2 linked regions of the Macaca mulatta genome follow. The protein of the gene in region 1 purifies or fractionates together with the protein of each later gene. This does not show direct contact. Links are inferred from orthologs where the notes say so. Each region holds a gene or a part of one and is shown in the gene's direction. Other genes may lie near its edges. The genes, in order: COX6B1 and CHCHD4.

Region 1 (8,732 bases):
GAATCAGACCCAATCATGAGAGTATATCTGCTGTGTCCCCTTAAAGAGAAGACTCAGACTCCGAAAAGGGCTTGCTGTGCTGTGTGTCCTCCCAGTGCAAGGGATCGTCAAGGAATTAAAACTAGTGCTTGCACCCCAACACCACTCACCATTTCCCCACTCCAAGCTTGACACAGGACTCAGACCAACACTCTAAAGACAGCCTACACCATTCTGAGAGCCACTGAGCTCCTAAAGAGAGCCTGCTGTGTGGTCGTCCTGTGGGCGATGCTGGGGATAGAGCAGGGACGAAGACAGCCGTGGACCCTACCCTCAGGGAGCTCACAGTCCAGTGGGAAGACAGACCCATCACCAGAATGTTTTGAGCTGGGATGAGAAGACTCCAGGGGATCGAGGGGGCCAAAAGGAGAGACCTGACCTAGCCCAGGAGGAGAAGGGTCAGGGGAGACGCCCTGGAGGAGGAGACAGCTGATTTGAGAAGTCAGGTAGGCAAAGAATGTTTCAGGCAGAAGGAACAAGATCAAAGGTCCAGAGGTGGACGATCTCATACCACTGCTCAAAACTATCAATGTGGGCCAGGCATAGTGGCTCACACCTGTAAACTCATTAATTTGGGAGGCTGAGGCAGGAGGACGGCTTGAGGCCAGGATTTCCAGACCAGCCTGAGCAACATAAGGGAGACCCCCATCTCTGTTAAAAAAAAAAAAAAAATTTAAAAATAAATGTGGCTACAGCAGCAACAGGGACCAATTCATAAAGGATCTGTGGGCCATGGTGAGGAGCCCAGACTTTGTCTCCAGGGCTCCTGAGGAGCCATCGAGGGTTTTGTTTGTTTTTAGAGATGGAGTCTCACTCTGTCACTCTGGCTGGAGTGCAGTGATGCAATCTCAGGTTACTGCAACCTCCGACTCCCAGGTTCAAGCAATTCTCCTGCCTCAACCTCCCAAATAGCGGGAATTACAGGCGCGCACCACCACACACAGCTAATTTTTGTATTTTTAGTAAAGATGGGGTTTTCACCATGTTGGCCAGGCTGGTCTGGAACTCCTGACCTCAGGTGATCCGCTTGCCTTGGCCTCCCAAAGTGCTGGGATTATAGGAGTGAGCCACCATGCCTGGCCCCCATCAAGGTGTTTTAAGCAGGGAGAGGGATTTGGGTTTTAGGAAGACCTCATTGCAGGGGATGAATACATGCATGTAAACAGGTAATTCCACAAATAACCACAATGTTGATGGACACAGAATGTGTAAGAAGAGGTCCGTAACCCAGTTCCATCTGGACACTGCACCTCAGATGGTGTGGGAGAAGCTTTAGAGGCCAGACAGGGGAGGAAGGAAAGCAGTTCTCTTTCATAGCTCCCTCTCCTAGTCCCCAAATGCTTCCTTCAGTTCCACAAGAAATTCTTGCATTCAGCAAATATTTATAGAGTACTTCCTGTGTACCAGGCACTGCTTTAGATACAATGGTGAATAAGGCAGACAAAAATTCTTCCTTTATGATGATTCTTTTCTATTGAGGGAGGCAAAAAGAGGTAAACATAATTTAAAAGAACAGATATAGCCGGGAGCGGTGGCTCACGCCTGTAATCCCAGCACTTTGGAAGGCCAAGGCGGGCAGATCACCTGAGGTCAAAAGTTCAAGACCAGCCTGACCAACATGGAGAAACCCCATCTCTACTAAAAATACAAAATTAGCCAGGTGTGGTGGCGCATGCCTGTAATCCCAGTGATTCGGGAGGCTGAGGCAGAAGAATCGCTCTAGCCTGGGAGGTGGAGGTTGCAGTGAGCCAAGATCGCACCACTGCACTCCAGTCTGGGCAACATGAATGAAACTCTGTCTAAAAAAGGACAAATTGGCCAGGTGGGGTGGCTCACGCCTGTAATCCCAGCATTTTGGGAGGCCGAGGTGGGCAGATCACCTGTTCAAGACCGAGGTCAGGAGTTCAAGACCAACCTGACCAACATGGTGAAATCCCTCTCTACCAAAATCACAAAAATTAGCTGGGAGTGGTGGCGTGCACTTGTAATTGCAACTACTCGGGAGGCTGAGGCAGGAGAATCACTTGAACCCAGGAGGAGGAGGTTGTAGTGAGCCAAGATAGTACCACTGCACTCCATCCTGGGCGACAGAGTGAGACTGAGTTTCAAGAAGGAGAGGAGAGGAGAGGGGAGAGAAGGGGAGGGGAGGAGAGGAGAGAAGGGCCAAATTGTGTAGATCATTTATAAGGACATTGGCTTTAGACTAGAAGTCAGACCCGTGTTCCTCTGGCTGGGTGGACATACTGCAGAGGGCAGCTGGAAGCCAGGAGACCAGGGAGTGGGCTGCTGCAATAGTCCAGTCTGAAGGTGATGGTGGCTTAAACCAAATGTGCTAGAGGAAGATTATGGATATAGTTACAGGCAGAACCAACGGGATTTCTTGATAGGTCAGCTCTCAGGTGTGAGAGAAAGATCGGAAACAAGGACAACTCTGTGGCCAGAGGACAGAGTTAGCCATTTTCCCAAATGGAATCCTTTCTGCCAGACCCTTCATAGATCCAAGCTTTAACTCCTAACCCCACCTGCCTGGGATGCAAGACTGGTTCTTGAGCTCTTGGCCACTCAAATCTTTGTTAATCTGTGCTTTCAGAGGTTTGGGAAAAGATGGTAACCAGCAGGGAGGTAAAATCTGGGCATTCCTAATACCCTGACGAGTGACACCTAGGGAGAGATTGGTTCGTTTTCAATCCCCTAACAATTGGCGCTCTAATTATTTAATATTATAAGGGTAGGGATTTCTGTGTTTTGTGCAGCGTGCTTTCTCAACCCTTATAGAAGTGCCTGATGGCCGAATACAGTGGGTCACGCCGGTAATCCTCACGCTTTGGAAGGCCGAGGCGGGAGGATCGCTTGAGACCAGGAGTTCGAATCCAGCCTGGGTAACATAGCAAGACCCCATCTCTACAAAATGCATATATATGGATCCAGGAGTAGTGGCGCGCACCTGTAATCCTAGCTACTCGGAAGGCTGGGGCGGGAGACTCGCTTGAACCCAGGTGGTGGAGGTTGCAGTGAGCTGAGATCGCGCCACTGCTCTTCAGCCTGGGCGACAGAGCGAGACCATAGAGTAAGACCCTGTCTCAAAAAATTTAAAAAGGGCCGGTCGCGGTGGCTCACGCCTGTAATCCCAGCATTTTGGGAGGCCGAGGCGGGCGGATCACGAGGTCAGGAGATGGAGACCACGGTGAAGCCCCGTCTCCACTAAAAATACAAAAAATTAGCCGGGCGCGGTGGCGGGCGCCTGTAGTCCCAGCTACTCGGAAGGCTGAGGCAGGGGAATGGCGTGAACCCGGGAGGCGGAGCTTGCAGTGAGCCGAGATCGCGCCACTGCACTCCAGCCTGGGCGACAGAGCGAGACTCCGTCTCAAAAAATAAAAAAAATTAAAAAAATAAAAGAAAAAACATTTTTAAAGAAAAGAAATAACCGACACAGAAAAAGCGTTCAATAAATATTTCTTGCATGAATAAAAGTAGTTTCTCTGGGACATTTTTACCCGCACCCACCCTCCAGCCAGCCCAGGGATCTATAACGCTCCCTCGGACAAGACCCGGTAACCACAGGCGCCCGAGCCCCAGCCGCGCAAGCTCACGATTGGGCCAGAAGTGATGATGAACAAGCATTCAACTCAATAGAAAGTCGTAGTTCTCTTGCTGGGCGTGGCTTGAATGGCTTCGGTTGCCTCCTCCTGCGAGGGAGCTCTAGCCTCTGGAAAGACTCCTCCAGTCCCCACCTCGCTCAGCTTCCGGCTGGTCATAGTTCCGCTTCCTGTCCGATTCTGGTATCTTTGCTGAGGGTGACATTGAGCTGCAAGTTGCATCTGGGGTGCCTTTAGGTGAGTGTGGAGGGTTCTGGAACCTGGGACCCCAGTCTAGCGGGCCGAGGAGCCGGACCCCAGCTTCCCTGAGAACGGGTTGAGGCTTCCGGCTGGCGGCGTCCGGCCTCCCTGCGCCCCGGGGCCCTGTTCTGTTCATCGTAAGGTCTAACAATGATACGGTTCTTCCTTGATGCCGGGCAACGTCCCAAACAACTTTAATTCATTTAACTCTCTCAGCAGCCCTGTGAGAGAGGGCCTGCGATTATCCCCTTTTGTCAGTAAACAGGCTCAGAGATACCAAGCGACCTAGCTGAGCCTACACAGCGAGCAGGATTTGACCCAGGAGTTTGTCCTCCAGGGCTCTTCACGGCCAATTCACAGGCGTGGCCTCCCGCGGCTTGCCTGGGCCGCAGCCTGGCTCCCGGGTGTCCAGTCCATCCTCCCTTTTGGACGGTGGAGGGGCTGCAGCGTCATTTCCGATGCACCCTCATCCTCAGATACCGGGTCGAGATCTCGCCGCTAACGATCCTACCGATTGCGTCTGTGCCCCAGCAGCTGGTGTTTTACACCCCACCTCCCCACCGAAAGACTGTTTTAGTGCTCCGGACCCCCACCACCACCTTGCGTCGCTTGAATCTGACACTGCTCTGCAAGTCTCTGTATAGCCCCACGACTCCTAGGATTCACTGGAATATAGTAGACACTTTCTCTCAGGTTCCTGACGAACACTGTCATTTCTTCAGAGACATTATATTAAAGGTTTTTAACCCTGAGTCCGCAGGGTTGGTAGAATTCAAGGAATGCTAGTACTTGAATTGGGGTGGGGGGTGGAATTACATCTGTGTTTTTACTAACCTTTTGAGGTAACAGCCTCGGTCGTACTAGCAGCAGCTGTGATTTTGTTAGCAATCAAAATCATATATATTCCTTTTTTTATTTTTTTCTCCTTTTTTGAGACAGGGTCTCTGTGTCACCCAGGCTGGCGTGCAGTGGAGAAATCTCGGCTCACTGCAACCTCTGCTTCCCTGCGCAAGCGATCCTACCTCAGTAGCTGGAACCACAGGCATGTGCCACCACACCTGGCTAATTTTAATTTAATTTAATTTTATTTTTTGAGACAAGGTCTTGCCTCCCGAGTAGCTGGAATTACAGGTACATGCCACCACCCCAGCTAATTTTTTGTATTTTTAGTAGAGTCAGGGTTTTACCATGTTAGCCAGGCTGGTCTCGAACTCTTGACCTGAGGCGATCTGCCCACCTCGGCCTCCCAAAGTGCTGGTATTACAGGCGTGAGCCACCGCTCCCGGCCAATTTTAATATTTTTTTGTAGAGATGAGATGGGGTTTCACCATGTTGCCCAGGATGGTCTTGAACTCTTGGGCTCAAGCGATCCTCCCACCTCAGTGTCCCAAAGTGCTGTGATTACAGGTGTGAGCCACCGTGCCCCACCCAAAATCACAGATATTCTTATATCACATTATAACTGCAAATGTCACAAAGTACTATATTCATTTATGATTACTTCAAAATTGTATTTTTTTTTTTTTGAGACAATGTTTTTCTCTGTTGCCCAGGTTGCAGTGCACTGGCACAATCTCGGCTCACTGCAACCTCCGCCTCCTGGGTTCAAGCGATTCTCTTGCCTCAACATCCAGAGTAGCTGGGATTGAACCCAGGTGGTGGAGGTTGCAGTGAGCTGAGGTCGCACCACTGCTCTCCACGCGAGCTAATTTTTGTATTTTTAGTAGAGACAGGATTTCACCATGTTGGCCAGGCTGGTCTTGAACTCCTGACCTCAGGTGATCCACCCCCCCCCCCCCCCCGGCCTCACAAAGTGCTAGGATTACAGGCGTGAGCCACTGCACCCGGCAAAAATTGTATTCCTTAATGAATCCTCAGCTGGATATAACTGGTTTTCTTTGTGATGCTGTGCAGGTTTTTTTCTCTTCTTCGTGTACTCATGGAACCTATGCAATTTTTAAATACATTTAAACATATTCAGGCTGGATTTTGTGGCTCCCTCCTGTAATCTCAACATTTTGAGAGGCCAAGCCAGACGGATCATTTGAGATCAGGAGTTCGAGACCAGTCTGACCAACATGGTAAAAACCTTGTTTCTACTGAAAATACAAAAAAATTAGCAGGGCATGGTGGCGGGTGCCTGTAATCTCAGCTGTTCGGGAGGCTGAAGCAACAGAATTGCTTGAACCTGGGAGGCGGAGGTTCGTGAGCCTAGATGGTACCACTGCCCTCCAGCCTGGGTGACAGAGCAAGACTCTGTCTCAAAAAAAGAAAAAAAAAAATTCAGCGAGAGGTTTATGGGATTCATCAGACTGCTGAGGAGTTTGTGGCACCAAAAAGATTAAGAATCTTTGCAGTGTAGATTATGCCAACAACGGAGGCAGCCCACCATTTATATTTATGCTGTTTAACCTTAGAAAGTCACTTAGACACCCTGTTCCTTCCTCGTCTGGGCAATGGTGATAGTAATAATTCCTACCTTTTAGAGTAAAGTAGGAGTAATGTGTGTAGAACAGCACCTGGCATGTAGTAAGCACTCAGTGAGTGTTAGCTCATGTTATTTGGGGACCAGGCTTGATTTTGCTGAGGAGTTGTACCCCAACCCTGCCGTGACCGCCACATTCAGATATGTGAATTCGCCTTGCCCCTCATCTCTGTGTATGTTGAGAGGCAGGAACTTGTCCACACTCAGCCCATTCTTCTGTGCCTGCCCTCTTCCATTGATCCTGGGTAGTCTGGCTTGCTGAGGGGCCCTGGGGCCCCTGTCAACACCCACTCCTTTCGCCTCCAGGATTCAGCACCATGGCGGAAGAAGACATTGAGACCAAAATCAAGAACTACAAGACTGCCCCTTTTGACAGCCGCTTCCCCAACCAGAACCAGACCAGGAACTGCTGGCAGAACTACCTGGGTAAGCAGGACCTTTCCCTGGCCACATACCTCGAGTCACTCACCGCTTGCCTCTTCCTAGAGGACTCATCCACCCCAGCGTCCTCCCTTTTGTTCTGAACATCCTTACTCTGGAAGGCCCATACCTCTCATCACCTGCTGTTCAGGTCCAGGCCAGGGTTATAAACTTTAGTTCCTGCAATGATTTTTTTTTTTAATTTAAATTTTTTATTATTATTATGTTTTGTTGTTGTTGTTGTTGTTGTTTTCCGGAGATGGGGTCTCACTGTCACCTAGGCTGGAGTGCAGTGGTGCAGTCATAGCTCACTGCAGCCTCAACCTCCTGGGCTCAAGAGGTCCTCCTACCTCAGCCTCTCGAGTAGCTGGGACCACAGGCCCACACTACTGCACTTGGCTAATTTTTTTGTAGAGAAGAGGTCTCGCTTTGTTGCCCAGGCTGGTCTCAAACTCTTGGCTTCATGTAATCTTCCTGCCTTAGCTTCCCAAAGTGTTGGGATTATAGTTGTGAGCCACTGTGCCTGGCCCCTACAATGATTTTTTTTTTTAAGCTGTATGTGTGTGTGTAGTGTAACATGTACAGAAAGCACATAACAAACATATACAGCTAAATGAATAATTCTAAAGTGAACCCCTTGTGCAACCATAACCTGGATAGAAAAGCAGACGTTGCCCACACTCTTATCTCCCCACCTTCTTTCTTTCTTTCTTTCTTTCTTTATTTATTTATTTTGTTTTTTCGAGATGGAGTTTCACTCTTGTTGCCCAGGCTGGAGTGCAATGGAGCGATCTTGGCTCACTGCAACCTCTGCCTCCTAGGTTCAAGCGATTCTCCTGCCTCAGCCTCCCTAGTAGCTAGAATTACAGGCATGTGCCACCATGCCCGGCTAATTTTGTTTTTTTAGTAGAGATGGGGTTTCTCCATGTTGGCCAGGCTGGTGTCGAACTCCTAACCTCAGGTGATCCGCCCACCTCAGCCTCCCAAAGTGCTGGGATTACAGGCATGAGCCACCGCGCCCGGCCCCTGCCTTCTTTATGTCCTGTCTGGAACACAACACCCTGCTCTCCCCAGTAGAGAAGTGACCCCACTAACTGGGGGTGATCACATCTTTGTTTTTGTTTTTGTTTTTTTTTTTTTTGAGACGGAGTCTCGCTCTGCCGCCCAGGCTGGAGTGCAGTGGCCGGATCTCAGCTCACTGCAAGCTCCGCCTCCCGGGTTCCCGCCATTCTCCTGCCTCAGCCTCCCCAGTAGCTGGGACTACAGGCGCCCGCCACCTCGCCCGGCTAGTTTTTTGTATTTTTTAGTAGAGACGGGGTTTCACCATGTTAGCCAGGATGGTCTCGATCTCCTGACCTCGTGATCCGCCCGTCTCGGCCTCCCAAAGTGCTGGGATTACAGGCTTGAGCCACCGCGCCCGGCCTGTTTGTTTGTTTTTGAGACTGAGTTTTTTGCTCTTGTTGCCCAGGCTGGAGTGCAATGTCACAATCTTGGCTCACTGCAACCTCCCCCGCCTCCTGGGTTCAAGCGATTCTCTTGTCTCAGCCTCATGAGTAGCTGGGATTACAGGCACCCACCACCATGCCCAGCTAATTTTTTGTGTTTTTTGTTTTTAGTAAAGACGAGGTTTCACCATGTTGATCAGGCTGGTCTTGAACTCCTGACCTCAGGTGATCCACCCGCCTCGGCCTCCCAAAGTGTTGGAATTACTGGCGTGAGCCACTGCACAAGGCCTCACATCTTTGTTTTACCACCATGTTTTTTATTTTATTTTATTGTATATATGTTATGTATATTATGTTATTTTGTTATGTTATTGATGGAGTTTCTTTCTCGTTGCCCAGGCTGGAGTGCAGTGGCACGATCTCAACTCTCTGCAACCTCTGCCTCCCGGGTTCAAGTGATTCTCCTGCCTCAACCTCCTGAGTAGCTGGGATTACAGGCGCCCGCCA
Region 2 (8,732 bases), on another chromosome or scaffold:
ATGAAACTGCCAGGCTATTTTACAAAGAGGTTATTAGAGAGGTATTTTTAATTAAATTCAGCAAACAGTGGCTGAGCTTTCTGAGGGCAGTGCTAGCCCTTGTGGGGTCAGAAGTAGACAGTCTTAGGGCAGTGAGGTCACAACCATAAACAATACTAGAAGGTCATACAGAGTGTCTTGTGAGAGGGGTGGACTCAGTGCTCAAGGAGTGACCCCTTCCAGCTGGGGTATCAAGGCAGGCTCCCTGGAGGAGGGGGCATTTGAGTGGAATCTTAGAGACAGACCTTAGGGGAAGAGCATCCCTAAAGGGAGAACCATGTCAGCAGTGATGAAGAAGTAGGAAGTGGTCCTGGGGGAGCAGCTGCCTATCTGCTTTGGCTGGGTTGTGGGAGGGATGGAGGAAGAAAGGGCTTGGAGCTAGGCATTTCTGGGCAGGTTCACAGTGGGCCTCAAACTCAAGGGTGAGTGGATCAGGCTTTGGTCAATAACACAGGCATGATTTGGGGTGCATCCACTGCTGATCAAAAGCGTCATCGTCTAGGGCAGGATTCTGGAGCCAGAAGAACTGGGTTTGAATCTATGCTGTGCCACACACCAGCTACAGGGTCTTGGGCAAAAGCAATTTCACCACTTTGTGCTTTCCATTTCCTCTGTGCATAGGGTTGTGGTGAGAAGCAAAGAACATAGTTATTGGGGGGCTCAGGGCCGAGGCCTTGGTAAGCACTCTACACATGTTAGCTAGTGGGAATGTTACCAGATTTCTCTACAACTGATAGTGGGCTGGCACCAGGCTGGGAGTGAGCTGACAAAAGTCACAAAGATATAAAGTGGGGCCCAGCTAAGACAGTGCCCCATCCTGGCACTAGGGGCCAGAGGAGTGATTTGAGTCAGAGTCTCTGCTTGGACAAAGCTGATGTCACGTTCTGATTGTCTTTGAATATCACCAGCCAAGGCCTCCAGTGACCAGATGTCCATGAATCCAGAAGTCATCTTGACTTTCTATACCATTTGGAAACATTAAGGGAGGGAATCACCACAGGCAGGCAGGTGACCATCATAATGATGACAATGGCAAACACGCCGGTCTATCACAGGCCAGCCCACACGCAAGCCCAAAGAGCTGGATGCCATAACCACCCCATTTCACTGATAAGAAAATCGGGCTTGGGTTAAGTCATCTTCCCAGATCACACAGTTTCTAAGAGGAAGAGTTAGGATTCACATCTGGGCAGACTGGAGACTACTCTCCTATTACTCATTCCAGTCTGTGCTCCCCAGCTCTTGGGCTACAATGTGAGTTGAATGTTGGGTGCCGGCTGCAGGCAGCAACAGGAAAAGGAGGCGTGGCTTCCTCTTGGGCGTCCCCTCAGCCAGCATCAAGATAAGGGGCTCAAAGACAGCCTTGGAGGGAAGGAAGAGAGGTACAGGAGGGTGCCCCTCAGGCTAGGGGAGGGATGAGGTAGGCAGTGACATGACATACCCAGCCCACATTCTGAACCAAAATTCCCAGTAAACATGGAGGATCATAAAGGATCTATATATACACACATATTTATATATACATATATATTACATGTATACACACAAATGTAAACACACACACACACAGACATCCCCAGTGACACATCCCCTCCCAGTCCCAGCACTCAGGACTCAGAAGAAATGAGCAATGAGTGGTGGGAACAGAGGCTGACACATAAGCCCTGGAAATGAACAGAACTGGGTTCGATGCCCAGGTTCACCAATCACTTGCTGTGAAGCCTGGGTAAATTGCTCTACCTCTCTGATTCTGTTTACTCACTTATAAAGTAGAGAGGGGAATAGTACCTTCACCATCGGTACTGCTGCTGCTATACTGATTGAGAATTCTGTTGCCTCCCTACTCCATCCCACTATCTTCTTCCTCACCCAGCCTAGTGGCTGCTGTAAATGTATACCCAGCTACTGGATGAATCAACAAATGCTTGGCAGCAGAGGATACTCAAATGCATGTATGTTCCTTGGTGAGGGGCCAGGTCTCAATGTACCCAAGACGATCTCTATTCACTGGGACCATCTGTGCTCCCCTCTGCAATGACAGGCTAGTTTTCAAGTATTAGGTACCTACGACACACCAGGCACTGTGCTAAGCAGTCTCCCTTAAATGTCACAGTAACTGATCCATGAGGCTACATAAACCTGGAGAGATGAAAGCCACACATCTACTGGGTGGAAGAATCTGGATTGCCCCCAGGTCTCCCTAACTCCAAAGCCTGCCCTTTGCAGCATGCCAAGCTGGCCACAAGAGTTTGGGCAGGTGCCTTCCCCTGCTGGGGAAGTTCACCATCTGTAAAATATGGTGGTGGTGGTGATGGGAGCAGACAGAGTCCACATACTACAAACAGGCTGGTCTCCTGTCTGCCCTCTCTCCTGGCCGAGCCTGAGTCTCTCGGAATACCTCTGAGGCCTTTCTAGGTACACCATTCAAGGCTTCTAACCCTCCTGTGGGCCCAAAGTGTCCTGGGAGTGTAGATGATACTAACCCGAGACAGAGTGTACTAGGACTGTGGGTGATGCACACCCTGGCCTCTCAAGGGGTGTGGGAGGCAGAGAGGACGCTTGGGGACAGAGGCGGCGTCTGGAAATAGGGTGTGACAGGCAAGGGGAGAGCTGCTAGGACACTCTACCAAAGCAGGAGGGAGGGTGTGTCTGGGGCTGGCTGGGCTCCTAAGCAGGCCCTAGAAGCACTTTCACAGAGGAGGGGAGAAGTGAGTCACCAGCTTCTCCCACATCCAGCGCCCTGGTAGGAGGCGCTGCTTGGTGTGCTGAATGAATGTTGGGCTTAAATAGTTTCCCGAGAAAGGCTAGTTGCAGGGAGAAGAGGCCTTGAAGGAACAGCCCTCAGCCAGGCCTTCTCCAACCAAATCCTTGCTAGGAGGAGGAGGGGCCCCGACAGTAGAGAAATGCTCCCTCTCCCCCTAACTCCTTCGCTCCCAGCCCAGCCTAAGCTTTTTGCAGCATCACAGCCTCGGTTTACACAGCCTCCCTAGAGCGGGGAGCTCTCTGCCCGCCTGGACAGCCCTATCCGTCCATTGCTGGACAGCTCCACTTGGGCTGGGTCGCCTTCCTCCCTCCCAAGGGAATGGCCCCCTCTCTGAGCTCCCGTCCAGCTCTCATAATGCGCAACCTTGGGACGGCTTCAGGGCCCCAAGATACAGGAGGGAACTAGGAATGCAAGGAGGAGCCGCGGAGAGGCGTACAAGCAGATCGTAGTGCGGGAGCAACACCTCCGAGTCCGCCTCCGCACGAACGCCGAGGACTAGGCGGACCAAAGAACACGGACAAAAGAAGTCTGGACGGTTCGAGAGATTAACAGAGGGATGAGCTGGCGAAGGCACCGACACGGCGCGCAGAGGGAGATGCGGGCCCAGCCGCAGGGAGGAGCTCCAGACGGCGAAACGGACCCAGAGGGCCCCGGGGAAGAGCCCCAGGGCGACGGAGAAGCCTGGGTGTGGCCCGGCTGGCCAGGGGACACTCACATTCGCGGCCATGGTGGGACCCGGCTCGCTGCCGCCGCCTCGCGCTGTTCAGCTAGGAAGTGGGCTGACGACTGGAGCGCGGAGTCCAGCGGCCTCTTGCCAGCCCCAGCTTCGAAAATCCGCGTGGACTCCAAGACCAGGCGGGACTTACTGCAGTTACCGCCCCGTGTGCCCAGTGTTTCTGCGCATGCGCACGGCGAGACCTGGAAACGGGTCAGGGACATTACAGTACCTCATTGATGCGCCTGCGCACTGCAAAGCTTTCTGGGAAATGTAGTTTCTACTGCCTGGCGAGCTGCTGTGGGGCTCGCGACCTGCTGGGAAATGTAGTTTCCGGCTGAGGTGGGCCTGGCCGCGGTTAAGAGGGCGCCGAGGCAGGCGCGCGGCGGGCAGGCCTGGAGGGGGCGGGTCCGCGCGGGCTTCGGAGGCGCCCGCCCTGCCTGAGGAGAGGAGGTCACGGCGTAAAGCTGCAGCTACCGCCACTGCCGCTTCTGCAAGGTCTCAGGGACGGGCTGCAGCCATGTCCTATTGCCGGCAGGAAGGTAGGGAGGGCGGGCTGCCATGGAGACCGGCCTACGAGGGCCTGCGGGAGACACGCGGGCCCCGGCGCCCCGCTACCACGCCGCAGGCGCGGGCCACCCGAGGCGCGGCCCGGTTGCCCACCCTGGGACACTCGGAGGCGGGCAGGCTGGGGGGTCGCCACTCGTGTTTTGCGAATGAGAAAACCGAAGCTCTCGGGGGAACGGGACTGGTCCAAGGTCACAGTGAAGCCCGAACCCTGACCTCAGAGGGGCCTGTGCGTGGGAAGTCGTAAACTAGGCCGGGTTGGGGCACGGGAAATGCCGAGCACGTTGCGTGTGGCTCGTAACTGGGAATGTATGTTAATTATTACTACCGCTCCTGCCATACCCCACGTGTTGCCATTTTGCACGCGCCTTTAAAAGGCGGGTCCCGAAAAGTTGCTACTGGGGGTAGCGTGTGCTGTGCTGGGGTGCTAGGAGTTGTGCTAGGAGTTCTACTAACGGGAATGTTTTTGAGCCCCCTGCTACCTATCAGGCACTGTTCAAGGAAACTTACGTGGCTTGTCTCATTGATCTCGCTGCGCCCTTTGTAAGTCAGACTCTGTTACTGGTCACATTTTACTGAAGAGTAAAGTCTGACACAGGAGACTTGGCTAAAGCCACTCAGCCAGCAAATCGTGGAACCGGGGTTTGAGCCTGGGCATTGTGACCCCAGAACAGCCTTTTCCAATCTAGTGCCCAGTGGATTGCAGGGAGAACCCTGCCTACCTCCCACCCCAAAGTTGAGCTCCAACCACCTAATGCTTCCTTGATGTTACTCTACCCAAGAGCTCAGAAGTACCCAAGCCACAGGTCGGAGGGCCTCCCCACACACTGCCACAAACTGACTCCTTGGCCCTAAGCTCCTACCTAACCCCTCCAGGCCCTGGTTTCCAGTGTTGTAAAATGAGATGTTGGGCTTCACTGATACAGCAAATATTCATGAAGCATCTTCTCTGCTCCAGAGAAGGGGGATGGATGGTTATAAAGCTACAGAGAGAGTTGGAAGTCACCCAGAAATTCTTTGGTGAATACTCCAGCTCCATCAGTTAATTCAAGCAATCTGAAGCCCAGAGAAGGAGGTGGCCTACCTTAGTTACACATCCAGTTAGGAGCATAGCTCAGCCTAAAATGCTGAGCCTTTTCCCTAGTAGCCCTGTCTGCTTCTAGAACCTCTCCTCCTCTGGGTTGTAAAGCCATAAGACTCACTCTTTAATGAGTACTATTATATTTCCGCTGATTACTACTTAATGTGTGCCGTAAGCAAAAGTCCTCTGCCCTCACCACTGTTGTTTTTAATTTCAAGTCTCTCTCTAATTTACTTCATTTAGCAAATAATTTTTGAGCCTTTGGGTATAATGAGGCTGTGCTGATAAACAAAACCCTCCTTCTCTTTGAGGATTTACAGGAGGCAGTTTTCTCTGGAAAGGGAGGCTAGGTCCATCTGCCTTCAAAACATGGAGCCCTTGGCTGGGCGCGGTGGCTCAAGCCTGTAATCCCAGCACTTTGGGAGGCCGAGACGGGCGGATCACGAGGTCAGGAGATCAAGACCATCCTGGCTAACACCGTGAAACCCCGTCTCTACTAAAAATACAAAAAACTAGCCGGGCGAGGTGGCGGGCGCCTGTAGTCCCAGCTACTCCGGAGGCTGAGGCAGGAGAATGGCATAAACCCGGGAGGCGGAGCTTGCAGTGAGCTGAGATCCGGCCACTGCACTCCAGCCCGGGCTACAGAGCAAGACTCCGTCTCAAAAAAAAAAAAAAAAACATGGAGCCCTTATCTTTTCCTGGTTCAAAGATCTCTCTTAGGAGATGAGTGAGAATTGAAAGCACTCACTTATAGGCCTTCCTTAGTATTTTTCTTATCCATACCACTGTCCCCCTAAGAAGTCCCTAACATTTTTTTTTTTTTTTTTTTTTTGCTCACTGATCCTTTATGCTTCCCATAGGATTTTTAAAAAAAATGATCCCAAACTCCTTACCGTATCAGAGCTTATGTGATCTGGCCCTGTCTGCCTTTCCAGCCTGGTCTCTTCCCACCTTTTTGTTGCCCAGCCTCTAACCTCTTCGCTATACCCTTGGTTTGGTAGATCCTGCCTTCACCTCTTCCATGGCTGACTCCTCATCCTTTAAAATTTAGCCTCCTGACCCTTTGTGTCTTTCACATCCTGAACTCTCTGAAATTACCTTTTTTATTTTTTGCCATCTTCCTGCCTGTCTTCTCCCACTAAGCTGAGAGCATCAGATGGGCTGTGGAATCCCCAGCATCTGGCACAGGGCCTGGTGTACAATGGGTGCCCAAATCTTTATTGAATCATGCGTGTACCTGCCCTCTGTCCTGAGTGAATCACTTGCCTGTGCAAGTTTATTTCAGGGGTCCACCTGCTACCCAGCCTTCAGGTTAAACTCCTTGGTTTGGCATTCGAGGGCTCTCATCCTGGCTCCCTGGCCTTGGGCTAGCCACACTTCTGTGTGTCAGCACCATAGTGTTTCTTTCTTAGTTTCCTCTTTCTAATGCAGAGCCTGCCCACTCGTGTTTAGTCAACATTTATAAAGCACATGTGACGTGCCAGCCATTGGGCATATAGTGGTGAGCAATGTGACACATTCTCTGCCTTCCTGGCATGGTGGAAGAGATTGCCATTAAAACATCACCAGACCAATGCATGATTACAGACTGTCATAAGTGACATGAAGGGAAAGCCCAGCATGCTATGATCATTTAGTGAACGGCTCTGTGGGGTCTGAGAAGGCTTCCTGAGGCTTCAGAGATCCTTTTAAATGCCAGTTTTCTTAAGAAAACCTTTTGCAGTCCTCAATGTGTGTGAGCGAACACTACTTAAAACCCTCCTTTTGCACTCCAGGCTTTGCCCAGGATGGTCCCTTCTGGAATGTCTATTCCCTCCTTCCCTCCCTGAAGTTCTTTGTCAGGGACAAAGGTAGGATCCCTCCCCTTCCGTCTTCTCCACTGGATGCCTGTGTCGTATTCATCTGTGACCACCAGGTACTACCACAGAGCTGGAGCTAAGGAAGGTTTGTTGAGCTAAACTTCTAACACTTGCATTCTTCTTACACTCTGTCTGAAAGCTATTTGTGTGTTCTTCACAGATACTTGATTCTGTACGCGGGAGTTATATCTTTCAAAGGGGTTAGATTCTAAACATGAAAGTCCTCAGCAGTCAGATTTATCAAACTCTTAGAAACCCCTTACTTTACTCACTCAAAATATACCACAGGCACCACTCCCTCTGGCTTTAGATCTCTTTCTTGGGTTGAGTGTCAGAAAGTAGTGGTTGGAATTGTATCACAGGTGTATTGAATCAGCTTAGCCAAAAATGAAAGAAGACAAGTCCGTAGTGCAGGTTGCCATTCTCAAACATGATCCTGGTGAGTCAGCATCCATGGGAGACAAGAAACTGCTTCCTCTGCAGGACACACGGGCATTCCTTCTGGAGTGGATATGCTGAGAGATTCTTGCCTGTAAAGATCTTCCCCTTTCATGGGGGAAATCAAACTACTCATCCAAGGGATTTTTTGGTCTTGCTCACTTAATGGTGATAACCATTCTGTCTTCCTGCTTTCTGCTGGGACTGGGTGACAGAGCAGGAGTAGCGTCATCTCGGACAAACACTGGCACTTTAAGTTCCAGCTCCCTTTCTAGCCTCATGCATTTCAAGGAAATCACTTCTAACTACAAGCAGCCAGGAAGAGCAGACAGTAAAACACAGATAAGACACCTCGGTCATAGAGGGAGGTGGGGGAAAGTCTCTTGGGTAACTGCCAAACTTCACCCTCATACAGTGGACCCCAGTAAAACTGTGGGCCTTAATAAGAACATTCCTTTCCCTTCAGGTGCACTAAGATAGGGAAGCTAAAAGCAGTCCTGGGGGGGATATGCCTGCAGCTGCAGAAAGATGTGTGGAAACAGACATACAACTCTGCCTCCCAGATGAGCACAATAAAGAGACACAGAAGCAGTCCAAGCCTCTGATAAACTCTCTCACCCTGAATCCTTAAAAACTCTTAGTCTGTAAGAGAATGTGGCTCTGACCTAACTCAGCCAGCAGCCCACCTCAGGTTTGTTTAAAATAAACCTGTCCCTGTTGACTGAAAAGCCACCGTTCGTGTTTCTCTCCTCTTTCTTTAATTCTTACACTAGGGTCTTCATGCCGTAATCCAGAGTTGTTTCTCCATTCACTTTTTTCAACAAAGATTGAACACCCACTTTGTCATTGGCACTATTCTGGGCTCTCAGGATACTGCAATGAACAGAATAGACAAAAATCGCTGCCTCTGAGGAGCTGACATTCCAGTGGGGGCATCAAGTGGTAAACATACATAGTATGTTGGGTGAAGAAAAGCACTTTGGAGAAAGATAAAAAAGCAGGATAAGGGAGATGGGCAGTGGTCAGGGACGGTGGCATGTGAGCAGGAAGTGAAAGCAGGGAGAAATCGCTGTGAGGGTACCTGAGGGAAGGGAAAGTGCTCGTGGAGGACAGAATACCCTGTGCAAAAGCCAGAGGTAGGCATGTGCTCAGCATGTTCAAGTAAAAGCAGAGGTCAGCATGGCTGGAGTGGAGGGAATGATGGTGGGAGATGGGGTCCAAGAGGTGAGAGATGCAGCTCTTTCTGGATATATTTGAAGATCGAGCCAT

What was found.
Region 2: the proteins of COX6B1 (region 1) and CHCHD4 purify together in Homo sapiens (co-immunoprecipitation; 3 studies listed by BioGRID and IntAct, with this or other methods). This does not show direct contact. The link is inferred for Macaca mulatta from reciprocal best matches to the Homo sapiens genes COX6B1 and CHCHD4.

What each region holds. Positions count from the first base shown.
Region 1 is NC_133424.1:46,907,273-46,916,004, forward strand, and holds the start of COX6B1 (cytochrome c oxidase subunit 6B1), read left to right. Parts: upstream 1-3,813; 5' UTR 3,814-3,872; intron 3,873-4,810; exon of another isoform or gene 4,811-4,917; intron 4,918-6,666; 5' UTR 6,667-6,677; coding exon 6,678-6,786; intron 6,787-8,732. UniProt on the Homo sapiens protein: Component of the cytochrome c oxidase, the last enzyme in the mitochondrial electron transport chain which drives oxidative phosphorylation.
Region 2 is NC_133407.1:152,922,814-152,931,545, reverse strand, and holds the start of CHCHD4 (mitochondrial intermembrane space import and assembly protein 40), read left to right. Parts: upstream 1-3,956; 5' UTR 3,957-4,038; coding exon 4,039-4,060; intron 4,061-6,941; exon of another isoform or gene 6,942-7,049; coding exon of another isoform or gene 7,050-7,110; intron 7,111-8,732. Other genes in the region: TMEM43 (transmembrane protein 43), read right to left, coding at 3,519-3,530.